Linked DNA regions of Cricetulus griseus. The protein of the gene in region 2 interacts with the protein of the main gene of each other region in a pairwise test. Links are inferred from orthologs where the notes say so. Each region holds a gene or a part of one and is shown on either strand. Other genes may lie near its edges. The genes, in order: Josd1; keratin, type I cytoskeletal 40; Rwdd2b; Pimreg; Lage3; Zgpat; Dock2.

Region 1 (3,941 bases), on a different chromosome or scaffold from region 2:
GTCTCAAGATAGTTAACTCCTCTGTCAGTCCAGGAGCCAAACTCATAGAGGTCAAAATCTGTCAACCTGAGTACAACTAACTACATAATATGACTAACTAACCTGTAAATAATCTAACATTTATTTACTGGTGGGTAAAACTAGGCAACTCCATAATCTTGTCCTGCTTCCTCAGATCATTGCTAAGGTTGCTCTGAGGTTGTCAGTATACCCTACAAAGTACCAAACATACTCAGGTACTCATGGTGAGTCATTTCCTTCTCCCTGGTTATAGATTAGGAAACAATTCAGAACTGCCCAGAAGAAACATGACAGCTGCCCAAAAGGAAGCAGTCAGAAGCCTGTGTCCTCCTTTCTGTCACGTGACTGGATGGTCAAAGACACATTTTCCTAAGGAATGAATTCTAAGTGCAGATAGTGGTCATAAAGCAAATGGCACATGTGTCCTGCTAAGGCAAAGGTAGACTATGGTCTTTATTGGCACTGGGAAAGAATTACTCTCATTATAGTTGTGTAAGAGCACTCAGGTTGGAGCTCTTTCCAGAGAGACCTATGGTTCCTTCAGGATAAGTGGTCCACACCTAGGCTCCACAAATCACCCCAAACAGGCTGATTCTAGCCGTAATGCTGTGCAGCAGCTATTTTGTCTCTAAATGAGGATTATTAAAAAGGTCCTCTGGAATTTCAAAGCATCCATGAACTTGCTCTGCCTGAGATCTGGGTATACCAAGCCTTTTCCAGCTGCAGGGATAAGACAGGCTCACCGTCAAAGCTGCCACAGACTGCAGTCATGCTGCTCGGTACAGCAAGATGCTACACAACTCTCAAGGCCGCTGGTAAAAGACTTTTCAAAAGCCAAAGCAATGGGCATAAAGCTGAACTCTGACCACTTGTGGAGTGATGTGTTTGTTCTAAGGGGCCCAAAGGCAATCATTTTTCTTTTGGGGACATAGTGCTAGGGGCTGCACCTAGGACCTTCTGCATAATGTGCACACTCCATCATCACTCAATTTCTCACCAGCCCCAAGAAGGTCACCATACAGCAGCAGGAGAGATATAGAGTGGGCTCCTCTCACAGCTCTGCTGTTTAGAAGCTGCTTAGGACAAATTACTCTGTCCATTTCTCTGTCAGTAAAACAACGGTGAGGAGCATCATACAAAATAATGTATGAAGAGCACCGCAGCCAATGCATGGCCTCAGAAAAGCTATGCACTCTGGGTACACTTTTCTTGTGGTGCCCATCACATCCCACCTTTGGTGACAGTTGCCTGTGGATGAATCTTGTCTCCCTTCTAGACTGTAAATTCCTTGGTAACAGGGTCTGGAAGGGAGGCATTATATCAGTGACCACCAGCAGAGATATGAACCTGAACTCAACCCTGAGTCCATGGCTTGTTGGGTTATTTGGAGGAAATTAAGGAGCTCTGCAGAGCTCTGTCTTCACCACAAAATGGGAGTAACACACACAACATGGAGTCCCCTATCTGACCAGATTCGTGGTAACAGCACTACTGAGGCTACTCCACAACAAATGGACCAGAGATGGTGATCATCTCCCATTCCTGTCCTCCTTATGGTGTCAGACAGCATCCAATTCCAAACCTGTAGGTTTGAAGGTTTCTGTCCCTGAGGCATTGAACCACCCACACAAATTCAGAAATACCAAGAAGTGGGGATCGAGAATGCCAAGCAAGGGAGCCTTACCTCTGGAAAATCTCCTGCAGCGTTTCCCTCGTGAAGGCATTGCTGTCCTGGAAGACATTGTTGAGGGCGTGAAGGGCACAGAGCTCCCTGCGTTGTTTCTCATGGTAGATTTGTGGGGGTGCTGCCTGGGGAAGCTCCAAGGATTCAGATTTGGCCTTGTCTCCTTTCCATGGCATGCAACTCATGTTTTTTGATTTAGGTTCCAGACAGAGCTGATAAACACCCCACTCCTTCCCTCCTGATTCAGAAGGTCTAGGCTTCTCTGTTTTCAGATTCCTGAGGGTTCACCTTATTCTCTAGTGTCCATGATTTATGCTTTGTCACTGGGAGAAAAGGTTGGAATCAAAAGGGAAAAAAAAATCCACCTCTTCTGTCTTCTTGATAGAAAAAAAAAACAAAACTTTTGGATTAGTTTATTTAGCCACCACTTTCAAAGTGCAGAATTTAAAAAGAACATATAAAACGCAAGATTCCTCCCTTTCACTACCCTCCCCTCCTACCCCCTTTGGGGGGGGGGTGGAAAAAAAAAAAACACGTTTTCCTGACTGTGTTTTCCTCTCTGCAGATGCCAAGTAGGCCTCAATGCAGGAGGGCAAAACCGAATGGGTCACATCGCTCCTTTTCTTCCATTTCGTCCGAATCTCAACGCCACAGACTCCGAAGACTGATGAAGAAAACGCCCGATGCCAACAGCTAGCGAGGGCCTGCGGGCGTGCGGTCGCGGGCCGCGCGGGGGCTTCGGGGACAGTTTTCCATGCCCGCCGGGAGGCTGGCGGACTCGGCCCAGCGGAGGAGACGCTTTGCCTCTGTGCGGGCGGAGCCGCGGGAGGGCCGGGGAAGGGGAGCGGCGTCCGGGGCGCCGCGGCAAGGAGGTCCCGCCTGGCCCGCGAGGGTGCGGCCGGACGCCCGCCTCGCCCCACGCAGTCCTAGCCCACCCGACTGGCCGTACCCGCGGCGACCCCCTGTCACGTGAGGCGACCTTTGGCGCCCTCTCCTTGCCAGCCTCACGGGGACCGTTCGTCGCCCCTTCGCCTTCACCGGGAGCTTTCTGGTCACCACCTGGGCCGCCCGCGGGCAAGCAGGAGGCAGATCGGCCGGGCACGCGCACCTGAGCCCGACGTCAGCGGCGCTCGCACGGCGCGCGCCCCAGACACGCCCCCGCGCTGACCCCGCCCGCCAACCTCGCGTCACCCCTGACGTCCGTGTGAAGCCTGCGCCGGCTGCAGGGGGATGTCCCCGGGCTTGTGGTGCAGGGAGCGGACCCGCAGGGCTGCAGTAGCTTCTCTGCAGCTCCGCCTCGGCTCCGACTCCCGCCTGGACGCCGCATGGCCCTCCTCCGGGCGGAGTGCTTTCTTGAACCTGGGTAGCGGCTGCTGCCCTGGCTCACTTATATTCACCGGATTTCCAAACATTTTACCAACGCGGTCGGGCATAATCTTGGTTGGTGAACCCGACCGCCTCCTGTTTGAGCGCTGGAGGGCAGGAGCGTCGCCGGGAGTCATATTTCAAATGGAAACGAGCGTTCTATTTCAGATCCTTAGTGTCATATTCACGTTCACTCCACACAAACCACTCCCTTTTGCTCTGCAACCTCCTCTTGGTGGCTGTCACTAGGCCTTCCTTTTTGTGTTTTCTTCTTTCCTTTGTGTGTGTGTGTGTGTGTGTGTGTGTGTGTGTGTCCTAGCCCAGCTGGCCTCGAACTCATTAAATGACCAAGAATACCTAGTTTGTGCAGGGCCTGGTACTCTACCAACGAGGGCTTCCTATTTTCTGAGTTTAGCTGAGTACATTGTGTAAAAAGGCAGACTATTTGAAGTTTCCCATAAATTTAAATTGTCATTGTCTCTAGCTCCCTTCTTTTTGGATTTTTGTTTGGAATACAACAGATTTACACTTTCAAAGCGGTGGTTTCCCAACACCTCAAAAGACTATTCCAATCAACATTGTTGTGCTATAAGTGATTACCACGTGGTAGGGAGTCCTCTGCCTCTACCTAAACTATTTATAAAAGTTTCTGTGATTTGTAAACCACCAATCAATTGCAGTGTACTTACATAGGATTTAGCTCCTAGGGACTTGCTGGGCAGCCAGCATTATTATAAATGCTTTGTATATATAAATTAACTCGTTTACAGACAAGTGTCACATTAGGCATTTCTCTTTTCGAGGGAGAAAACTGAAGCACAAAGAAGTTGATTAAGTTGTTTGAAATCACTCTGTCTGTAATGAATTAAGG
Region 2 (4,167 bases):
CATATATGTAGTATGAACAATATGAAAGGTTCAGGCATTATGCTGGCCTGCCCCTGTTACCTGGTGGAATCCACTCAGGCAATACCCTGGTCAGCCCAAGGTTCCATGGGAAAGAAGTCTGCACGCAGGTGCAGAGGACCCCTTTAAAAGATAGGCCCCTGCACCTTTCTCTCTCTCTCTCTCTGCCCCTTTACGCTCGCGCGCTCTCTCTCTCTCCCCCTGTTCCTGCTCTCTGTCCCCTCTCTCTGTTTCCCCGCTGTCTCTCTATGGCGACCGGCCATGGCGGTCAGCCATTACCCTGTCCCTCTTAGTCTCCCCATTCCATTCTACCGGGCCTTATAATAAACTTATAGTCTTAAGTCAATATGTCTGTCTCAATATTTCTCTTTTCTTCTTTTTAAACAAAAGAATAACACAATACCTTATGTCTGAGCCTCAACACCAAAATAAATGAATGATAACAGCTTTTTAAAAGTAGCATAAGGAATCTAACATGGAAATACGAGAAGGCAAAGCTTATGTGTATGACCATCCACTCTGAGCATATCCAATCTCAAAAACTAAGCAGGGGTGGTCATGATCACTGTTTGGCTAGCGATAGAATGTTTGAGATAACCAAAGACCACAATTCAGATCTTGACAACCACTTTCTGTCTTGGCTCACAGGACACAACTTATTCTCATTGTTGTATAAAATGATCTCACGTGCTTTACACTCAGTATATACACCTTTCTCTTTACCATGTAAGCACAGGCTTCAAGGACACACACACACACACACACACACACACACACACACCACACGCACGCACGCACGCACGCACGCACACACGCAGGCATGCATGCCCTTCACGATTGCTAACTATCATTGTGGTGGCTGGTAGCACAAACAAATACATGCAATTTAATGAGCTGTGGTGTCCACTTTTAAAGTAGACAAGAGCAATCGATTTTCAAAATCAAAACCTATGGAAATATTACTTTCTGTATCTCTAATGAGCTCTACCTATGATTACCAATGGCTCAGATTTTCTCTTGGGTTCCTTATTCTTTCAACGGGATAATGTTTCCTATGGCTATTCGCTAAAATAAGGATTTTATCCAAGCAACACGTGGAAATGACAGTCGTCCTGATTTAGTAACCTGAACTTATCCTCCTTTTACGAGGCATAAAACTTCCTCGGTAAATAAGCAACACTAATGAGATGTTTGTAGGAAAACTAGCACCCGCGGTGCTAGAGGAAACATCGGTGTGGCCTGTAAACACCCATTTGAAGGGTGATATAAAGGTCTCAGGGGGGGAAGGAGATGTTTGGAGACAAGACCTCGGCACTACAGCATCCGGTCTGTTCATTCCTTCACAGAAGATGGCTTCTGATGGCTCCCCTGGGTGCTGCTCCTCTGAGCCCTGTGCAGAGGCTCCGGACTGTGCGGCTGCCTCACCCTGTCCCACCGATACAACTTGCCTGCCCAGTACCTGTGCCACATCCAGATGTCAGACCCCGAGCTTCCTCTGCAGGGCTCACCTCTCAGCCGGTCGCCTCTCACCCTGCTACTTCGCTGGCGGTTGTAACAGTCCGTGCCTGGTGGGGAGCTGTGCATGGTGCGAGGAAGGGGCGTTCAACAGCAATGAGAAGGAGACGATGCAGTTCCTGAATGACAGACTGGCCAGCTACCTGGAAAGGGTGAGAAGCCTGGAGGAGAACAATGCGGAGCTCGAATGCAGGATCCGAGAGCAATGCGAGCCCGATGCCCCATTGGTGTGCCCAGATTATCAGCGTTACTTCGACACCATTGAAGAACTCCAGCAAAAGGTTGTGTGTCTCATTCCCTAATGTTCTCTGTTTCCTGTTTCAGAATTCTCTTATATTTACAGTGGCGCGGGTTGTTTTATGGATGTAAAACCAGGGAGGAGGGATTCCCAGAGCTGGTATGCTGCCAGGAAAAGAGGGCCATAGATGGCAAGAAATCTGTCTCAGTATCAGCACTATTGACCATAGAAATGTCATGTCTGTGTGTAGACTATGTCATCTACAGAGAGGGGGAATCTGAATTATGATATCTAAAATCTGTTCTGCATGTATCATTACTTATTTATATTCCTTATCAAACAGACATCAAATGCCATCTCTTTTAGTTCACCTGGTAATCATTTTCCTTTCGTGTGCATGTAGAGAGGGAATACATGCTGTCAATGAGGCCTGAGGTCAATGGCAAGCGTCTTCCACTCCCCGCCTTGTGTTTTGAGACAGAGTCTCTCAAGGGACCTGGGGCTCACTGATTTGACTCACTGGGTGGCTGGCCAGAGAGTCCCAGGGATACTGCTGTCTCTGTCTCCCCTTGCAGGGGTAACAGGCACACACTGCTATACTTAGCTTTCTATACATGAGTTCTACGGTTTGAACCTGGGTCCTCCTACTTGTATTGCAAATGCTCTACTGACAAAGCCTTCTTTCTTTTTTCATTGATGAATTTCTATGACCACAGACAGAGATGCAACTCTAATAAATATTAGCAGTGGAGAAAACTAACAAAGCTCAGCTGTCAATGATGACTGCCAAATGTCCTGCCTTGTGTCACTTATAAAGGAAACCTTGAGATGCAGAAATGACTCAGCAGTGGATAGCAGCACTGTAGCGCTCATGAGCAACCTGAGTTCAGTTCCCAATACCCATATATGGCAGTTCACAACCACCTATAAGTTCATCTCCCGAGGACCTGACACTCTCTTCTGGCATCCTAAGGCAAAGAACAAGTCTACACACACACACACACAGAGTCAGAGAGAGAGAGAGAGAGAGAGAGAGAGAGAGAGAGAGAGAGAGAGAGAGATCAAATACATACACACTCTCACACACAATTGGAAAAAAGATAAAATCTTTTTTTAGAAAGAGAACCTATTTTTATGTCTGTATTTTGTTTCTAAATTGGCACTGCATGTCTCCTTTTTTCTCCATGGTATAGTTATAGGCTGAAAATTATGTTATGCTAATTTTGTTAAGCTAATGAATGGCAGACTGTTAAAACAGAAATGTGGGTTTCTTCCAAAGAGCTGTTGATTACATAATGACTTGCCTCTTAGATACTGTGCACGAAGGCAGAGAATTCTAGACTTGCCGTACAGGTGGACAACTGCAAACTGGCTGCTGATGATTTTAGGTCAAAGTAAGTCAAATTGTATTTATTTTTTAAACCACATTGTATTTTATGTATACAAATTGCATTCTAAATCTTAAATTTAATTTGAAAATAATAATGGCCTCCAGTGATAGAGAATTCTCTGCATGAGATCTTTTTTTTTTAATTTAGAATGTTTGAAACTTGAATTCACCATCATTTGGGATACCCGGGGAATTGTGACATGTGTCTCCCTGGAGGCCACATGTCACTCATCCTTGTACCCCGGCACTTTGGTCAGTGTTTAGCCAAGTAACACACTCCCTTTTCTTTCTCTTGCTGTGAAAGGTATGAGAGTGAACTGTCTCTTCGCCAGCTGGTGGAGAATGACATCGGTGGCCTTCGTGGGATCCTGGGTGAACTGACCCTGTGCAAGTCAGATCTGGAGGCCCACGTGGAGTCCCTGAAAAGTGATCTCCTTTGCCTTAAGAAAAGCCACGAAGAGGTAAGTGAAGTGGCCACTGTGCCAAGGACTATAGGGAGAGTTCTACCGAGAGATTTCATGGGTATAAACTGAACCAGGGCAGACACTGACTAAGCTGGAACAAAACCAGAGGCAGGCCCACTGTGTGGTTTGAGCATCCCAGTGTCTCTCAAGGTAGATGTGACATACAGTGTGTATTGTTGCATAACATCACCCGCCCCAAGTGCCAGGGTGAGGCCACTCTCCCTCCTGCCATTGCTTGGGTGAAGAATTAACTCCACTAATGGCTATTTCTGTAGCTCTACTGTACAACAAGAAAATAGAGCTGTATCCACTTCCAAAAAAGGAATAAATAGTCATGCAATATTAGGAGTAATATTTTTTAGATATTGTACATTTATAATCTTGTTTCTATTATAAGCTTAAGAATGAAATGCAGAGTTACATAATAAAGTAAAACAAAAATGTATTCTTTGCATATTTTGATGGTAGTAACAGCTGACAATTACAGATACCTTAGCATTTCTCAAGAATTTTATAAATTTATTGTCTAACTCTTCCCTGTT
Region 3 (2,521 bases), on a different chromosome or scaffold from region 2:
GAGAACTGTATCTTATAAATTCTACTTTGAAAACCTGTTTTTCAGACTCAGAAAACTAAACTGGAAGAGAATTTTAATTCGCCATCGAGAAGACATGCCTTTGGATGGCACAAAGGATGGAATGGAGAAACAGCGGCGATTTGCCAGTTTTGAAGAAAAGGTATTCAGTGTCCATGGAGCCAGAGGAAACCACATGGACTTTGGTCAGCTGTATCAGTTCTTAAATGCCAGGGGCTGTGGGGATGTTTTCCAGATGTACTTTGGTGTGGAAGGACAGTGACTGAGCAAAGGGGCTGTCGGACCTGTGGAGTCCCTGTTCCTCCTTTGATTATGTCTTCTCATTCTTTCTCAAATTTTAATTTTAGTTCCATCCTAGAATGTTACAGAGCAGGCTGGAGAAATGGCGTAGAGGTTAAGAGCGTTCACTTCTATCACTACCGGCTTAAGTTCAGTTCCCAGCGGCCATGGCAGGCAGCTAGTGGTGGTCATCTGTAACTCATACCTTCAAGGTATCTGGTGGCCTCTGTCCTGCACACGGGTGCATGCACAAACATACACACATACATGTACTCAGGGCATCAGATCCCAGAGAGCTGGAGCTACAAGAAGTTGTGAGTTGCCCAGTGTGGGTACTGAAACCAAACTTGGGTTTCTGCAAGAGGAGTGCATACTTTTAACCACTGAGCCGTCTCTTCAACCTGGTGGAAATTCTTGACATGAACTGGACATGATGGTACATGCTTGTAATCCCAGTACTTGGAAAGTAGAGAAAAAGAGGATCTGGAGTTCAAGGCCAGCTTGGGCTACATAAGGCTGTGTCTTAGAAAACAAAAATAAAGTATTCACAGAAACTTTTGAAAGACAAGTTATATGTCTTTCAAAGGACATATGAAGGCAGTTTTGATGGTCCAATTTGCTAGGCATTTCCGACACCCGTCTGCCTTTACTGAGGAACCTGGGAAAGCTGTCTGCCCTTGGTCTCTGTTGAAACTATATCCGGCTATAAATTGCAGCTGCAGGATTTCTGGGGATTTATTTGCTTCTCTTTCGCCATGAATCTTGAAGTGATGGCAGCAACAGGGAAGGATGGCCCAAGACAGCTGCAGAGGTGCCATTCCCCCTTACCATCCGGGGACCAACATCAATCCCTGGTGATCTTCAGGCCTTTGGAATAAAATGAATTTTCTTATCACTCATTTATTCATTCATTTATTTATTTTGTGTAGCCCAGGCTGTCCTTGGACTCACAGAGGTCCTCCTGCCTCTGCCTCCCAAGTGTTGGGATTAAAGGTGGACGCCACCATGCCCAGCCAATCAGAATTTAAGGCTGTTTTAAAACAGCAAGGACAGAGGTTGGGGACCTTGTAATCACAGTCACTCAGTTTCAGGATGCCAGGGCTCTGCAGAGAGACCCTGTCATAAACAAACAAACAAAAACGAAACCCAGAAGTGCTAATGATGTCCCAAGTGGAAAGTGCACAAAATTTTCAGAAAACTGCATCACTGGAACTTCCTTCAGTCTTTGAACAAGGCACCGAGGCCGGGTGAATCTGTGTCATGTCCTTCCAGCATGGTGCAGGTCTCCCGTTCCTGCCACTTGGCTGTCTTCTTTGCTCCTTGGCAATGTGCCGGCCTTCCTTCCCTCAGGTGGCTTCCCTCCAGCCGATGCAGAAACCGTCTTAGTTTTCTTTTCATATTGCAGATATCTGGACTCAATCACTCTTCCTCCTTGTACTCTCCTTCTTTTTGTCTTGTGGGAACCAATGGCTGGGGATTTCCCTCGAGCCATTTTTTCTGCCTTCCACTCAAAGGTGAGCTTCTCAGGGCCCACCGCCCGCTGGGAAGCAGGAGGACACATAGGATGGGAGGGTGTTCTCTGCATTGAGAGTGCCCGGTCATAAAATGAACTTTTAAAGTCTCTGTGATTGTTATCAGTAGCCAAAAGTTAATCTGTCAAACCCCCCACCACCAAAGCTTTGACTTTGAAACTATAACCTACAAAAATAAATTGTTTTTCCTCATCGGTGTTTATGGTTCATTTCTAATTCTAGGTACTTAGACCTGGCCCCTATTTGTACTTGCTTCACTGAAGACTGAGAGGCATGAGCAGAGCTCAAACACTTTTTTTTGTTGTTGTTATTTCTTTGTTTTTTTTAGGACATGTCCTCAATGTATAGTCCTGGCTGGCTTGGAACTTACTGTTATATCACGCTGGCCTTGAACTCACAGAGATCTGTCCTCTTCGACCTCCAGACTGCTGAGATTAAATTGTGTGTGACACTACACCTGGTTTGAACTCAGAATTTTTCCAAAAGTCCTTGAGAGTTCAGATTTTAAATTCATGGAATCTAGTTTTTGCAAATTAGAGTTTGATAAGTTTTCATTCTGGACATGACTTTCTGTAATTTTATTTTATTTGAATTGGTAACCAATTCAATGCCCACTGAATGAATGAGTAGATAAAATATAGTATTTATTATAAAGCACAGTGTAGAATTCAAAGAGACACAGCAAGACACTT
Region 4 (4,274 bases), about 27 Mb from region 2:
TGTGATAGGTAGGGTTTTAGTTGGGGGGGGAGTGGCAGGGGAGGAGGGAGGAGAGGAAACTGGGATTGTCATGTAAAACAATCTTGTTTCTAATTCAAATAAAAAATAAAAATAAATAAAATAAATAAAAAAGCAGAACATCAAAACAACAAAAATAAAAACTGGTACATGGGAGAAATCATAGCAGGCTGTTTGTTGTTGTTGTTGTTGTTGTTGTTGTTGTTGTTGTTGTTGTTGCTGTTGTTGTTGTTTTAAGCTTGCTGGGAAACTAAGGGAAAGATGGAAAGATGTCTGGGGCAAGACCAAGCGGAGGACCTGACTTAACGGGTGGAGAGGTGGTTCTACAGTCTGCCCCCTCCTCTGAGATGTGCTTTCTTGGGTGCCAGCCGGGTGGTGAGTTTGAGGAAATGACAGGGGCTGGGCGGTCTCTCAGGAAGGAAGAGGTTCAGGCGGGGGAATTTGAAACAAAACTTCCCAGGGAACGCAGAGTTCGGCAGTCCCAGCCGAACATTCTACAAAACTACTGGATGCGGGAAGTTAGGTGGGGTGAAGGACGGAAGGGATGCCCTGGGTGGCCGTGACCTGCGCTCTCGCAGCATCCCGCAGAGCAGCCTGACCGTAGGCTCTGGGAAGGGCCTGGACATGCGATGGACAAAGCGCGACCACTGGGAGGTGGCAAGGGGACTGGGCGGTGACTGACTGCTGGAACCTTTGCTGCGATCCAGGCGGGGGTCCCCAGAGATGTATGGGCGTGGCCCGGCCAATCCCAAAGCACGATTTATGGTCGCGAGAGAAACAGACCAATCGGAATTCAGGGGAGGTGGCGGCGGAGGGCTGATAGGGCCAATGGGCTGCGAGCACCAGGCTGGGGCGGGGCCGCGCGGAGTTTCAAATCTGCAGCGGTGGGCGAGGAGCGGGTGTTGATCTTCGGGTCCCCGGTATCAGAAAGGGAGGTGAGCGCACGGGGACATCGAAGGGCTTGGGGGGCGGGGTGCGGGGGGGACTCACGGGCAGCTCTGAGAGCGGAGCGGGCCAGGAGCTCTAGACAGGACCCGCAACGCAAAGGCGGTGTCTGGAAATTTAAAGCACCTTATCGGATTCGAGGCTTTGGCGGGGTGGCCAGAGTCTGCTCCATAGAGGAGCACGAATTTGTGAAAGAGCCGCTTGCTGATGGTGTCCTGCATAAGCGCCGAGACTCGGTAACCTCTGTGCCTCTCCGCTGAGCCTTAGTGAAGGAGGCTGGGATGGAAGTCAGACAATTTGCCGCCTTACAGTCGAGGCAGCTGCTGACCATGACGCCATGGTCATCTTTCTGGCATCCACAATTGCGCAACAGGCCCACCCAGATATGTTCCACTTCATCCCTTCCCCAGTTCCCAGGGTCTCTGACGCCTGGGAAATAGGGCCAGGGAGTATTCTGTTGACCTTTTGACCTCTCCAGGAACTAACCAGCAGAGGAGACTGGACCAAGCACATGGCGTCTCAGTGGCAGGGCATGACGGCCTCCATGCGCAGAAGATCACTCCTAAAAGAGGAACATCTAGAGAAGACGGTGACCCGGTCTGCTGAGGGCCATCAGGAGACTGGTCCCCTGGGCTCCCTGTGCAGACAGTTCCAAAGGAGGCTGCCACTGAGAGCTGTCAGCCTCAACCTCGGCACTGGCCCCTCCTGGAAACGCCTGGAAACCCCAGAGCCAGAGCAGCAGGGTCTTCAGGCTGCAGCTCGTTCCGCCAAAAGTGCTTTGGGTGCTATGTCCCAGGTAACAGTGACACCACTAGCCATTTGTTTACAGAAGTGTGCTATCCTCAGGAAGGCCCCAAGAATATAGAGTCAGTGGGGTCTTGGAGTTTGATTAGGTCCTGGCAGTTTCCCCCAACACCCTCAGTCATTCTGGCACATAATAGTTTTCCAACAAATCAGTGAGTGAGTGAGAAATCTCATGGAAGAAATTGATGCTCTCCGTGCAAGGTAACCTGCTGTGCCCTATGAGAGGAAATTGCAAGAAATGGCTAACTATAAAGAGATGCCAGTCTCAAGCTTAGTGGATAAAGACTCCCTAGAATAAAGACTTCCAAGATAACTCGGGAAAGGGGCGGTATATGGAGGCGCAGGACCAGGAGGATGGTGTGAGTCCAGCCTGGATGCTGAAGTGGCCTTGGTGTGAGGACTAAGTCACAGTGAGTGGGGACAGGGATGGTGTGTGATGACCCCTGTCTAGATTCTCCCAGTCAGACTACTTATTTCACTTTGGCTGTCAGCTACTTGGTGGGAAAAGGCAGAGGAGCAGGGCTTGCAGAAGGGTGCAACTTCTTGAGCGGTTCAGAGGCAGATTTGAGGGGTGGTGTCTGGGTGCAGTGTGCCCAGGAGCAGACATCTTTTTTAATGTTTATTTAAATGTTTGCGTTTATTTATGGGAGGAGAATTCACGTAATGGTATTCGTCTGGAGGTCAGAGAACAACGTGCAGAAGTACGTTCTCTCCTTCCACCTTGTGGATTCTGGGGATCAAACTCGAGTTGTCAAATTTTGGTGGCAAGAACCTCTACCTGATGAGCTATCTCACTGACCCCACACAGGTCTTTAACCCTGGAGTGGAAGATGCGGGCAGGTGTGCCCTGGAAAGGGCAGCAGCTATGAAAATGAGAATACCTGCAACGAGAGAAGCGGGGGGGGGGGGGCATCTCCCTGGGCATTCTGGTGGTGTGGAGAGAGAGCAGAGGCTCTTGGCAATGCTACAGAGAGGCCTCCTAGCCAAAGTCTAGCTCTGACTTGGAAGAGCCCTAAGATTGCTTTCAACAAATATAGCTCAGAGCAATGAAATGTGACATCTTGTCTAAGGTCACCCAACTCATCAAACTTACCTTGGGCCTTGCTCCAACCTCTGGGCTCTGATTTGCCAAGACAAAGGCAATCTAAGCAGAACTGTTTGATCAGGCCACATGTAAAAGATCCAAGGGTTGGGACTCGGCCCTGTAGATTATAGGGAGCCATAGAAGGGGTTATGATCAGAACTGTCATTGAAGGATCTGTGTGGACTAAGATGGAGGAGGGAAGAGAAGGAATGAGAGCAGAGGGGGATGGCAAGGGGTCCAGTAGTCAGGAAACTGTACCTCCCTCATTGTCTGGGTTAGTCTCTCCCAGAGGGCTTCAAATGTGGAGCCATCTTCTTGCGACTACCTGTTGTGTCCCTGCGCTGGGCCTCTGGGAAGGTCTTATAGGGAATCATACTCACTCTTAAGACTAACAGCAGACTGTATTAGTGGGACAGACCCTAGGATGGAGGGATAGCAAAAGGCTGGCAGCCCACCTTGGTCCTGTCTCTGCTAACCTCTGCTAACCTTCCCACATGAACCCATCACAGAGGATCCAGGAGTCCTGCCAAAGTGGCACCAAGTGGCTAATGCAAACACAGGTCAAAGTGAGGAGAAAGCGAGGAGCCCAGAAGGACAGAGGATCCCCGCCCAGTCTGAGCCAGAAGAACACTCGGCTATACAGGGCCAACCGGGATGCCAGAGTCGGGGGACATCCTCGCCTCTCTGGCCAGATGGGTCCACATGCCCATCGACGTCATCGGCTAAGGAGGGAGGCTGCCCTCCAGAGCCCCTGTTCCTCCACAGAACCTCTCTGCTCTCCCAGGCAAGTAGTCTCCGAGCCCAGTGTGATTTCCCTTTCTGTCCCACAAGTCTCCTCAGTGTTACCTAGGGTGAGGACACTCTGACCTGTCATATCCCTGTTCTGGCTCAGATCTGCCCCAGAGCTAGTGAGGACCTGAAGGGGAAAAAACCTCTCCAGAACTGTTTCCCTACCTGTGAAAGGGACAGGAGATGAGTTCTACTCCATTCTAGATAGGAAACATCTAGAAATCCCAGGCACTGGTGCAAGGCCAGCAGCAACCGTCATCTGACTACAAAATAATTTTCCATGGCTCAGCCTCACAGGTTTGCATGTCACATGCTGCAGTGAGGCTCTAGTGAGGCTTTCCCAGTCACCCGGGGTTGCCTGGCCCCTGCTCTGGGCTCTTGCTAACCCCTGCATCCTCTTGTGTTCAGTGAGTCTGACAGTGACCTAGAGCCTGTGGGGGCTGGAATCCAGCATCTCCAGAAGCTGTCACAAAAGCTGGACAAAGCCATCAAGGCTGAAGAGAGGTGAGCTGCATCCTGGGGTGCATCAGGGTGAAATGGCCATGGGCCCCTTGAGCCATACTGTATTTCTAGAGAGGGTTCTGGTTCCAACACCAATCTGCCACATGACCAAGACCAGTCCCTGTCCCTCTGG
Region 5 (3,198 bases), on a different chromosome or scaffold from region 2:
GGTGGCATAGGGGCAAAAAAAAGGGGGGAACTGGAGCCACATCATACAGGGATCTTATAAACTACTGCAAAGCTTTGGTTTTTATTCCAAGTGCCACTAGAAAACGTTTCAGGGATTGTTGGTTGGTTGATTGTGATAATGGGAATGAAACCAGAACCTTGAAATGCCACATAAATGGTGTACCAAATAAATTCTATCCAATCCACCATGACCTTTTTTATTTTAAGAGTTTTAAAAATGTTTATGTGTATGAGTGTTTGGTCTGTATGTGTGTCTGTGTTTTTTGAGGGTTTTTTGGTTATTTTTTGTTTTTTGTTTTTAGAGGCAGGGTTTCTCTGTGGCTTTGAAGGCAGTCCTGGAACTAGCTCTTGTAGATCAGGCTGGTCTCAAACTCACAGAAATCCGCCTGCCTCTGCCTCCCGAGTGCTGGGATTGAAGGAGTGCACCACCAACGCCCAGCCCAATATACAGGGTTTTAAGCATTGATTTAATCTATACTAGAAATTAGACAGAGTGAGAAGAGTGAGTTGGGCATGGGTAGGATCAAGGAACATTGTACACATGTATGAAATTGTCAAAGAATAAGTAAAAGATATCTTAAATTTGCCAGGAGGTGAAGTTCAAAGCCAGCTTGTTATACAGAGCTAGTTCAAGGACAGCCAGGGCTAATACACAGAGAAGCCATGTTTCGAAAAATCAAGAAAAAGAAAAAGAAAGAAATTAGAAACTTTTGTGGGGGATATGCTGTAGACAAGAAGAAGATCAATCTCAGAGCTTTTGAAGGTGTGATGCAGAGAGAGAGGCTAGACAGATAGTTTAGTGATTAAGAGAACTTGCTGCTTTTGCAAAAGACCTGGGTTAAGTTCCCAGAACTCACATAAAAGTTTACAACCACCCATAATTCCAGTTCCAGTACCCACATGGACAACAGGCACTACACACATGTAAAAACAGGCAAAACATTTATACACATAAAATAAAAATAAATAAATCTTAAACCAGATGGTGGTGGCACACACCTTTAATCCCAGCACACTTGGCAGGCTTGTATCTGTGAGTTTCAGGACAGCCTGGATATCTCTCTCTCTCTCTGCATCCCGAGTGCTGGGACTAAAGGCATCTGCCACCAATGCCCGGCTCCTTAGATCCCTTTTAAAAAGAAACTGAAGGGAAAGCTGGATGTGGTATGGCACTTTGGAGGCTGAGGGAGACTAGATCAATCTCTTAGAGATCCCAACAGAGGCCTCCAGATGGGGACCGACCCAATTTAGCAACTTTGTCGCCCGCCCATTCCCGCAGGTGCATGTGGGATTGGCAGCCTGAGCGAGGGCGGAGCTTCCGGAGGATAAGGCGGGCTCTGGGCCGTAGCGATGGCGGAGGGTGGCTTGGAGGGTGGAGCAGCGGTAGACATGCAAGCAGCACACAGTTTAGGCCACACTGCAGATGGCGCCGATTCCCCGACCAGCTGCTGCTGTCCCGGTGATGCAGGCGCAGTGGCAGTTATTCCCAGTGGAGCTCACCCTGCTGCACGAGCATCGGAAGTCTCCGGTTGGAGCAAAAGCACTGTTCCTTTAACCCAAAGGCCGGGAATCCGACATCATAGATTGTATCCTACCGGACAGGGACAACTGGGTCACTTTAGGGATGCTTCAGGAGGGAAAAGGGGTAGTCTGGAGACGGGGGTGGGGTGGAGGGGAGCAGGGGGACCGGCTGATTGAGGTCTGTTAACCACGGGAGGTCTGGGCATGAGAAGATAACAGGGGGAGGGGAACCGGAGGGTGGAGGGAATGAACAGGAATTGCCCAAGCAATGTGCAAGATGTAGTCTGGGGAGCTTAGACCAGATGAGATGGTTTTAGAGGGCCAAGTAGGCGAAAACGATTCAACATGGTGCCTTTCCTGAGTCTCTACCAGTGCCCTTACAGTGCCTTTCCCGACCTCTTTGGAGGCAGAAATCGCCTGTGGGTCCCTAGCTCCTGATGCCGAACCGCACCGAGGAATCTTGGGGAAAGACCTTAAAGTCAGCGGCTGCATGCTGGAGGTGTAAGTGCTGAAAGAGTCTGGCATGCTGGGTAGGTGGCTGGACTATTCTCTACCCAAGACTGCACTTCCTTAGAGACAGCACACTAGGGTGACTTCTAAGAAGACTCTTGGTGCAGTGGACCAGTCTTTACCTGCAGGATATGGTACAGTGGGAGCCTGAGGGAAGATCCAGAAAGGTAGGAGCCAGGAGGCAGAGGCAGACAGATTTCTGTGAATTCCAGGCCAGCCAGGGCTACATCGTGAGATTCTCTCTCTTTCCAAAATAAATAAGGAAAGAAGGATAAGAATTACTATTTTAAACTTAATATTCTTTTTCCTCACTCTTAGACACTGGATCTCAGAAGACTCTCGCCTCCTCCGAATTTCCATCATGAACTTTCTTGACCAGCTCGCCCTAGTGGTGAACACCATAAAGCGCTTTGGGCCCCCAGTTTCTCGTTAAGCCTGCCTGGGAAAAGGGGCTCAGATCTGACCTTATGTCGGTTCCCTCCAAAGCAGACAATTTTCTGGAAAACATTCCAGAAATAGTACCTGCTACTTAAATGTGGGGCCTAATATTTTTTTGCCTGACTTGGTCCTCAGGCACTTAGGGGCCACTTGTTTAGTTTGGTGCTCAAATGTTGCTGAAGAAAATAAAGCTGTGCTTCTAATCTGTATTTGAGTATTTTCAACCTCAAGATTTTCTTTGTGTTGGAGGAGAGGTATTTGTTGTATAAAATAAGAGTATTCACCTAATGTTGTGAGGTCCTTGATTCAATCCTCAGCAGTGAAAAACTACATTAGTAGAAAGTAGAAGAAGACAATTACAGAAATAGAGGAAAATTAAAAACACAAGCACCCTGTCATTTGGGGCTCACTTTGGGAAACTTTTGGTATTAGAATTTTATCAATATAATAAATGTGTAGCAATATCATGAGGCCCCTCTTCTGAGGAGATATTGGCAGTTTATGGCTGCTGGGGAAATGGAGTTGTTTTTCTTCAGTAGTGTAACCACTGTTAAGTTGCTCATAATTCTGTAAATAACCCCACATCCATGATCATGCAAGCAACCCTAATTAAATTCAGTGAGGCACTAATGAAAGACATGAAAATGGAGATGTAATTGTTAAGAAGAAGGGGTTGAATAGAGGATAAGAAAGGACAATAGGGGATGGA
Region 6 (4,166 bases), on a different chromosome or scaffold from region 2:
GAGACGAGCCTTCCCCACGTCCACAGTGCCAACTGGGGAGAGGATAGAATGAGCTAGCTCCTGACCTTACTCTTTACAAAGTCCCAGCTCTTCCTGGAATGAGGAAAACCATTCTGGTACCAATCCCAGCAGGCATGCACAGAGAGGGATCTGGCCCCTGGCCAGCTGGGCTACGTACGGGCTTGCATCTCTAAGGGACCCAAGCTCATATCCCCCTTACTGTTTAGGCCCACGGTAGTGGTGATTTTGGATAGACTCATCCCTTTGTAGTTCTTGTTAAACCGTGTTTTTGATTGTTCCAAGAAGGTCTGAGGAAAGAAAGAAAGGTGGTTAGGTAGTGGCAGCTAAAGCAGTTTCCTGGTGTCTTTTCTAAATATCCCTCCACATCCATATGCTTTGGGCAAATTCAGGCTTTCACACCCACATGGTTTGGGCAACTTCAGGCCTTCACACCCATACACACATGCACACGAACCTCTGCCTGTTGAATGCTCTTCGGGAGGCTGGTGGCAACTAACCTGTAGTCTTGGGTAGGGATTAGATTTGCAAAGAACATAAGGCAGGGAAAGGGAATTGGTGAGAGAACAGGCACCTACTGTCTTCCCGGCATTGTCCAGGCCTAGGATCAGGATGCAGTATTCATCCTTCTGGAACATGTACTTGTACAGCCCCGAAAGCAGCGTGTACATCCTGCCCTGGCACCCTGAGAAATGTCAAGGTGTGTACCAGGGCTATCGGCCTCCTGTCCGCTTCATCAGTGGTCCGTCGGTCCTGCTAGTTTTCAAATGTGGAGCCTCGTGGCTCGCGACTCCTTGCCCCCCTCTCCCCAGCCCCCGATTCCGGACCCTGCCTCCACCACCGACCACCCGCTAAACCTGGGCCACTACTCCCACTGCGGGTCATCTTTGTGAATACACCATCAGTCCTGAAAAACCCATGGCGGCCTACCCTGCTCCGCCCTCCTAAGGCTTCTTTTCCGGACCCTCAACTCAGCACTGGGAACTTCGACTGTCGTAGCTACCAGAGAGTCAGCTTCTGAGTGGGCCGCCTTTGGATCCCCCCCCGCTGCCGGGCCCACGGAGCCAAAGAACCAGCTGCCGAAGCCGCTTCCCTGCCCCCTACCCCAGGATTCTGGAACCCCGGCCCCTCAGTCCGGCGGAGACCCACCTGCACCTGCTCAGATCTCGGAGCCGCAGACGCCGTCGTCGCGTCGCAAACCCCACCGACCTCGCGTTGACCCCGCGCGGTGCCTGTCGGGACACCGACCGGCCGACTGAGTACGAGAGGGCGGAGCCGCATCCCGACGGCCCCCGCGCGCCCCATCCCGGAGGCTCCCGAACGCGGGCACTTCCGGCAGCATCAGCTCTCGGGCGGAAGTGCCCGCGGCGGGCGGAAGGCTAGCGCGAGGGCTCTGCTGGCGAGGCCGGAAGCCCTTGTAGGCTGCGAGCACCGGCGGGAGGCGGGGCTGCGGACCGCAGAGGACGCGGTGGGATACTTTGCGGTTCCCTTGGCAGCGCCGAGGTCCTCCTCAGCCTCTCCAGCGGCCGGGGAGGGGGCGGCGTTGTCCTGAGCTCTGCCGACTGCTCTTCCCTCAGGTCTCGTCTGCTTTAGCGGTTCCGAAACTAGCCTGCGCGGTGTAGCGATGGACGAGGACAACCTGGAGACGGCCCTGCAGACCTACCGGGCCCAGCTCGGGCAGGTAGAGCTGGCTCTTGGTGCTGGCCTGGACGCTTCCGAGCTTGCGGACCTGCGCCAGCTGCAGGGCGATCTGAAGGAACTGATAGAGCTCACCGAGGCCAGCCTGTTGTCGGTCAGGAAGAGCAAGCTGCTGGCTACAGTGGACCTGGAGCACCAGGCAGAGGAGGACGCTGAGTACTTGGCTTTCCAGAAGGCTGTGGCGGAGGAAGGGGAGGCACCCGTCGCCCCCGTGGATGACTCGGAGACTGTCCCTGGGAGCGTGGTGCGGCCTGGACCCACCTCCCCTGCACAGGAGGAAGACGAGGAGGATCCAGATCAGGAGGAGCTGAGCGGTGCTAAAGTGAATGCCCCTTACCACAGCGCTTGGGGCACGCTAGAGTATCACAACGCAATGGTTGTGGGCACTGAAGAGGCAGAGGATGGTTCGGCATGCGTTCGCGTACTCTACCTGTACCCTACCCACAAGTCCCTGAAGCCCTGCCCGTTCTTCCTGGAGGGAAAATGCCGCTTCAAGGAGAACTGCAGGTAAAGCCCTCTGCTACTAGCAATAAGGGTCACTCGAGCAGGACCACTGCTGTGGCCTGCCGCCTTCACAACTTGTTCTCCACCCCGCAGAATTGATAAAAGAGAAGGGGGAGCTTCAGGTGGCTGACAGGCTTTAACAGGAACATTCCCTGTTAAGTAAACACATAAGTAAACACATTATATTCATTCTCTCTCTCTCTCTCTCTCTCTCTCTCTCTCTCTCTCTCTCTCTCTCTCTCTCTCTCTCTCTCTCCACCTCCCACCCTCCCTCCCTCTTTTTTTGGATACAGAGTTTCACTGTGTAGCCCTGTCTGTCCTGGAGCTCGCTCTGTAGATCAGTCTGGCCTTGAACTCAGAGATCTACCTGCTCTGCCTCCCAGGTGCTTGGGACTAAAGGCGTGTGTCACCACTTCTAGCTAAGATTTATTTTTGTGTGTATTTGTGTGGGTATGTGAACATGAGTACAGGTGCCAGAAGGTGTTGCATGTTCTACAGCTGGAGTTCCAGGTGCTTATGAGCCACCCAACATAGATCCTGGAAAACAAACTCAGGTCCTCTGCAAGAGCAGTATGCTCTCAACCACCAAGCCATTTCTCTAGCTCTATATACTTACTTTTCTTTTTAATTGTGTGTATGTGTGTGTGTTTGTGAATACATGTGTACTTGAGTACAGGTGCATGAGGAGGCTAAAAGAAGGTGTTGGATCTCCTGAAGCAGGAGCTTCAGGACTACTGGTAGTGAACTACTTGGGTCTTCCTCAAAAACATTACACATACTCTTAACCACTGAGCCATCTCTCCAACCTCCAGAGACCACCTATATTCCTTGGTTTGTGGTTCTCTTACATCACTTTAAGCTCTTACTTCCATGGTTACATCTGTACTCTGCACATTTTATTTCTTTACTTTTTCTTTAACATGGGATCTCATGTAGCTTTAAGCTGGCCTTGAAATCCATATATAGCCAAGGATGACTTTAAATTCTTCATCTTTCTGCTTCTACCTCCCTAGGGCCAGGATTACAAGCATGTGCTACCTAGCTTGGCTCTGCACATCTTTTTTAGATCCTAGTAGACTTGACATGTTCCTTGCTCACTCTCTTTCCTTCTCATGCCTATAGGTGCATAAATGATCAGTGTGCTCAGTGGGTTTTCTCCAAGAATACACATGTTGCTATAACCAGTGGCTGCTTTATCTGCCATAGTCTTTTTGTGGGAAGCCCTGTGATGAGAGATTTAATACCTCTAAGTACTTTCTCTGACTGACATATGCTCACTTCTCTGTGCACGAACCTATGGGTAGGCCCTGAACTCATCCCATTTTATATAATTTTTGTTTTATTTTATTTTGTATGTATATATGCATGTGCCATGGTGCTCATGTGTAGGTCAAAAGACAGCTTTTGAGTGTAGGCTCCTTCAACCATGTGGGCCCTGGGGATTGAATTCAGGTCATCAAGCTTGGCAGAAGGTACCTTTACTTGTCAAACCATTTGTCAGTCCCCACCCCACTTTATAGATGGAGAGACAGACACCAAAGCACTAAGTGATCGGTACAATGTTGCTGGCCGTGAGACCACTTCATCACAAGGAGCTGCTTGTGGTATCAATTTTAGGGCAGAACTAAAAGACAATAAAACATCTAACACCATCTTTACAACCATCCAGGATGAATGAGTTGTTTTCTTGAATTTGCTTTAGATTTTTTTTGTTTTGTTTTGTTTTGTTTTTGTTTTTCGAGACAGGGTTTCTCTATGTAGCTTTGGAGCCTATCCTGGCACTTGCTCTAGAGACCAGGCTGACCTCGAGCTCACAGAGATCCACCTGCCTCTGCCTCCTGAGTGCTGGGATTAAAGGCGTGCACCACCAATGCCCAGCTTGCTTTAGATTCTTAAAAATAAATTTAACTAACTCCACCTGCATTACCATAACTTTGGTGTATGTC
Region 7 (3,981 bases), about 63 Mb from region 2:
GTAAAGTTGCTTCTGTAAGTGAGTGTTCAGAGCTAGAGATGTAATAGTCGTGCAGGGAACACACACACACACACACACACACACACACACACACACACACACACCTCTCAAAACTTTTTGAGACAGGGTCCTTCTGCTGTTCACAGCTCCAGGAACCTATGTCAGTGACTCAGGCAGCCATCATCAAGACTGCCATCGCCATGGGGAAAGGAGACTATGACAGTGATACTGCACAACCTACTCCTCCCTGCAATGGTGTGGGCGATTCCAAAGGACTAGAGGAGTCTGTGACAACTCCTAAACCCAGGAACTAACAGTTTGTATGAGAAAGCAGGTTCCCTTGGTGTTTTTTGTTTGTTTGTTTGTTTTTTGTTTTTTTTTGGAATCCCTACCCCTGACTTCCACCCTCATGATGGGGACTGAACCCAGGACCTTGCACTTGCTAACTATTACTATTACTATTACTTGCTAACTATTACTGAGTTAAATCTCCAGTCCATGGATGGGAATGCATTCCTGAATGTTAAGTGCTCCTCCATGAACACTACAACCATTAGGGAACAGTGTGATTGTGGCCTGCAGGAGCCTGAAGGGTTTGTTCTGGTGAGCTCTAGGTTGGCTGTGCTTGGTTAGGAATCAGATGTTTTGTGTTGCTTTCTTTTGTTGTGATGAAATGCTTGATGTAACAGCTTCAGAGGAAGGGTGTTATTTTGGCTCACCATTTCAAATGAATTTCTGACCACCATGGGTGGAAGGCATAGCAGAAGGGCTATGTGGTGGTTGGAAGCTCCTGGCAATGACTTGTCATATATGAATAGATCAGGAAACAACGGCTGGAATTAACAAAAGGCATAATCAAAGGCCCACCCTTAGTCATTCGTTTCCACCAGCCAGAACATCTTAAAGGCTCACAACCTTAAACAGTGTCGCAATCTGGTAGTTTTCAAACCACTAGCTCATCCTGTCCTACTTATTGGACAAGGGGGACTGTGTGGTTGGTAACAGAGTAGTAGAGAGCCCTGCATGTTAGGATTCTGTTGCTGAGATGGGGAGATGGGGATCAGAAGGCAGCCCAGCTTAGAGGGTGAGAGTATGGAAGTTAGATTAGAGTTTCCTGGCATTTCTCATCTTGGCTACTTTGGCCAGAATTCCATTTCTGGCCTCACAGCTCCTGCTTCACAATGGGTTGCTTGTGGGGAGGGAAGAAGAAGATACGCAACCTCATGCCTGGAGCACAGCAAGAGGCCAGATGTGTGGATGGTATAAGCAGTCTCCTGTCACCAAGACTACAGTACAGGACCAATGTGGGAAGAGGTTAGGTTCAGTTTTTAAGAGGGTCCGGTTGATGATTGAAGAAGGCAGTTGGCTTTTGCACTGGCTTTCTTTAGTCCATGCGGGCTTCATAAGTGTGAGGTCCACTGAAGGCAGAGGAAGCAAGGTGGAGCAAGGAGTCAAGATACCTAGAGGTCTAACTGACTGTCTCCATGTTCCATTTCACAGCCATCTACAACTTCCAAGGCAGTGGAGCCCAGCATCTCACCCTACAGATTGGCGATGTGGTGCGAATACAGGAGACCTGTGGAGGTGAGTCGTAGTTGACTATGTGCCCCTCAGATGCTGGTTCCTTCACCATAGGAACCCAGGTACTTTCAGTACTCTCTCTAGGTCTGCACTTGCATGACATGTTTAGACACATGGTGCTAATGTATTACAGTCAGCCTTTTGTGCCCATAGGTTCTGTATCCATGAGTTCAACCAACAACAGACAATATTGCTTCTGCAATATGTATATTCAATTCATATCATTACTCCATAAACAACATAACACTATGATTATTTGTATGACATTGCCACATATTAGGTGTTAGAAATGGCATAGAGATGATTTAAAATATGTGAGGACCTCCATATGGTCTACATAGACATGGTACCATTTTATATAAGGGGCTTAAATATCTGTGGGCTTTTGTGCGGCAATCCTGGAGCCAATCTCCCCAGTATTTTGAGAAATGACTGCAATTAAAGTTTACTGAACAAAAAAAGTGTTTTATTATTTTAGGAATGTTAGTTTCATAACAAAGGCCTAGCTGGCTGACTTGATGTTTGCTATGCTCTGCATTTGCCACAGTCAGGGGACTATGGGACTTTGGGCCTTTGGATCTTTCTAGATGTAGTTCTTTATTAATATGTACACTATTGTAAAGAAAAATAAGCATCATCAAGATGCAGGAGGGTGCCGTAAATTATCCTCCTGACTCTGAGAGAGAGAGGCCGTGCCGTACAGTAGTGTTATATAAACGTAGCTCCCAATGGAGGAGGGACCCAAGCTGAGGCTATGTGGGTAAAGTTGCAACTCTTGACTCCTGCAAATCCATTTGGTCATGAAGCTAAGTGTATATTGAGTCTAGTTCACCCTCGATGGTTGTGGGAAGGGGTGCATCTTAATATTTTCTAGAAGACTAATGACCTTAGATTTAAAAAACAGGCAACTGGAAATTATCATCTATGTTACTGACACACTTGATATTATTGGCAGGACTGGCGTGTGATAACGTAATGAGTTTGTTAATGTGTCACTGATGATCAGCAGAAACCCCCATCCCACACACCCAGGCTAAACTTCCAGAGTTCTCCCTTGCTGGGCCAGCTTATGACTACTTCTGCACAAAAGACACAGAGTAGAAGCAGTATCCTGTGGCTGGCAGAACAAAGGATGAAGCAGAGACTTGTCTGAGAACACAGCTGTGCCATCTCCCAGTGAATCCATCAGACAAGGCCCTGGAAAGGAGTTCAGGATGGTAGGGACAGGTGTGCTGCAGGATAGGCCTCTGCTGGAACACAGGAGCCACGAGCCGTCTTGTCACTTCCACAGACCAGACACTGCCCTCCATCCTGGAGAACACAGAACCCTACTCAGGACTCATATCAGCCCACTAGATAGGTAGAGTCCTCTGCGATCTTGGATAAGCTGCATGAGGCTTCTTAGGCAGTGGAGCCCCTGCTTCTCTGCAGATGTGTGCAGAGTTGTTTATGAATGCATGCACACCAACATGACATTCATACAAACACCTATAACCTCCCAACAAAGATACACTCATGTGAATTCACAGCTACCCATAAACATAGCACACTCACAAGCACACACAAAATCACATACAAACATGTACACATAAAAACAGATGCGAACCAAGAAAACAAGCAAATAGAAAACCTTTCTTTGAAGAGGGTAACCTGAGAGCTGCTTGCGTGTAGGGTCATATGCTTTGGCAGGATTCTTTTTTTGGGTTACAACTAATAGGGTGCCCAGGACTAGGAAGCATCCCAGCCTTGGCTTTTTAAAGCCTTTTGAATACTCAAGATGAGTGTGGTTCAGGAAGTGGGTGGGGGCATGGTGAGGAGTGGGTGGGTAAGGGGATACCTTCTTGTAGACTCAGGCCTGTTATTCTAAATTTACCACCCCTTCCCACAGTACAACCCTAGCTACAGTACAGCCCTATGTTTTACACATCTAATACTACCCATTGCAGAAAAACTTTTGTATATTGTAATCTTCTCATCAGTTTTAATTACTTAGTATAAGCTATCTATTTAGACCAAAAATATATCTTTTTAAATATCTCAAGGCTAACAATGATTAGCTTTGGGAGGCTGGAACACTGAGTGATAATTATGTCACACTTTGTGCTTTCTGATTGTTTTCAAAGCATCTGAATCAGAATAGTACTTCCTCTACTAGCTCAGGGATCTCTGCTCAGGGGCTTCGGGTTCCTCACCTGAAGAGTTGTGATCACACTGCTCCTGGACTTGTTACCTGAATCAAAAAAGGGAGACTAAAGGTGTTTGACTCAGGGTCAGCATTTTGTGTTCCTTTCTTTCACCCAGTAAATCTGCAAGAGAACCAGTATGGGTACCTATCTATGCAATATGGGTCGTGGTCACTTGGAAGCTGAATTTTTGCATGCCTAGAATGGATGGGATTAG

Evidence for each region.
Region 1: the proteins of keratin, type I cytoskeletal 40 (region 2) and Josd1 interact in binary tests that used the Homo sapiens proteins (3 or more experiments, as listed by UniProt). The two-hybrid records come from large-scale screens. The link is inferred for Cricetulus griseus from reciprocal best matches to the Homo sapiens genes KRT40 and JOSD1.
Region 3: the proteins of keratin, type I cytoskeletal 40 (region 2) and Rwdd2b interact in binary tests that used the Homo sapiens proteins (3 or more experiments, as listed by UniProt). The two-hybrid records come from large-scale screens. The link is inferred for Cricetulus griseus from reciprocal best matches to the Homo sapiens genes KRT40 and RWDD2B.
Region 4: the proteins of keratin, type I cytoskeletal 40 (region 2) and Pimreg interact in binary tests that used the Homo sapiens proteins (3 or more experiments, as listed by UniProt). The two-hybrid records come from large-scale screens. The link is inferred for Cricetulus griseus from reciprocal best matches to the Homo sapiens genes KRT40 and PIMREG.
Region 5: the proteins of keratin, type I cytoskeletal 40 (region 2) and Lage3 interact in binary tests that used the Homo sapiens proteins (3 or more experiments, as listed by UniProt). The two-hybrid records come from large-scale screens. The link is inferred for Cricetulus griseus from reciprocal best matches to the Homo sapiens genes KRT40 and LAGE3.
Region 6: the proteins of keratin, type I cytoskeletal 40 (region 2) and Zgpat interact in binary tests that used the Homo sapiens proteins (3 or more experiments, as listed by UniProt). The two-hybrid records come from large-scale screens. The link is inferred for Cricetulus griseus from reciprocal best matches to the Homo sapiens genes KRT40 and ZGPAT.
Region 7: the proteins of keratin, type I cytoskeletal 40 (region 2) and Dock2 interact in binary tests that used the Homo sapiens proteins (3 or more experiments, as listed by UniProt). The two-hybrid records come from large-scale screens. The link is inferred for Cricetulus griseus from reciprocal best matches to the Homo sapiens genes KRT40 and DOCK2.

What each region holds. Positions count from the first base shown.
Region 1 is NC_048595.1:376,857,760-376,861,700, forward strand, and holds the start of Josd1 (josephin-1), read right to left. Parts: upstream 2,801-3,941; 5' UTR 1,891-2,800; coding exon 1,706-1,890; intron 1-1,705.
Region 2 is NC_048600.1:113,048,948-113,053,114, forward strand, and holds the start of keratin, type I cytoskeletal 40, read left to right. Parts: upstream 1-1,367; coding exon 1,368-1,814; intron 1,815-3,082; coding exon 3,083-3,165; intron 3,166-3,465; coding exon 3,466-3,622; intron 3,623-4,167. UniProt on the Homo sapiens protein: May play a role in late hair differentiation.
Region 3 is NC_048597.1:9,901,857-9,904,377, forward strand, and holds the end of Rwdd2b (RWD domain-containing protein 2B), read left to right. Parts: intron 1-45; coding exon 46-280; 3' UTR 281-2,021; downstream 2,022-2,521.
Region 4 is NC_048600.1:85,882,761-85,887,034, forward strand, and holds the start of Pimreg (protein PIMREG), read left to right. Parts: upstream 1-1,474; coding exon 1,475-1,759; intron 1,760-3,360; coding exon 3,361-3,635; intron 3,636-4,048; coding exon 4,049-4,144; intron 4,145-4,274. UniProt on the Homo sapiens protein: During mitosis, may play a role in the control of metaphase-to-anaphase transition.
Region 5 is NC_048604.1:1,362,682-1,365,879, forward strand, and holds Lage3 (EKC/KEOPS complex subunit LAGE3), read left to right. Parts: upstream 1-1,336; 5' UTR 1,337-1,370; coding exon 1,371-1,606; intron 1,607-1,913; coding exon 1,914-2,042; intron 2,043-2,369; coding exon 2,370-2,484; 3' UTR 2,485-2,698; downstream 2,699-3,198. UniProt on the Homo sapiens protein: Component of the EKC/KEOPS complex that is required for the formation of a threonylcarbamoyl group on adenosine at position 37 (t(6)A37) in tRNAs that read codons beginning with adenine.
Region 6 is NC_048599.1:540,403-544,568, reverse strand, and holds the start of Zgpat (zinc finger CCCH-type with G patch domain-containing protein), read left to right. Parts: upstream 1-1,366; 5' UTR 1,367-1,642; coding exon 1,643-2,223; intron 2,224-4,166. Other genes in the region: Arfrp1 (ADP-ribosylation factor-related protein 1), read right to left, coding at 1-32, 221-308, 597-689. UniProt on the Homo sapiens protein: Transcription repressor that specifically binds the 5'-GGAG[GA]A[GA]A-3' consensus sequence. Represses transcription by recruiting the chromatin multiprotein complex NuRD to target promoters.
Region 7 is NC_048600.1:49,789,972-49,793,952, reverse strand, and holds the start of Dock2 (dedicator of cytokinesis protein 2), read left to right. Parts: upstream 1-1,181; coding exon 1,182-1,314; intron 1,315-1,500; coding exon 1,501-1,584; intron 1,585-3,981. UniProt on the Homo sapiens protein: Involved in cytoskeletal rearrangements required for lymphocyte migration in response of chemokines. Activates RAC1 and RAC2, but not CDC42, by functioning as a guanine nucleotide exchange factor (GEF), which exchanges bound GDP for free GTP.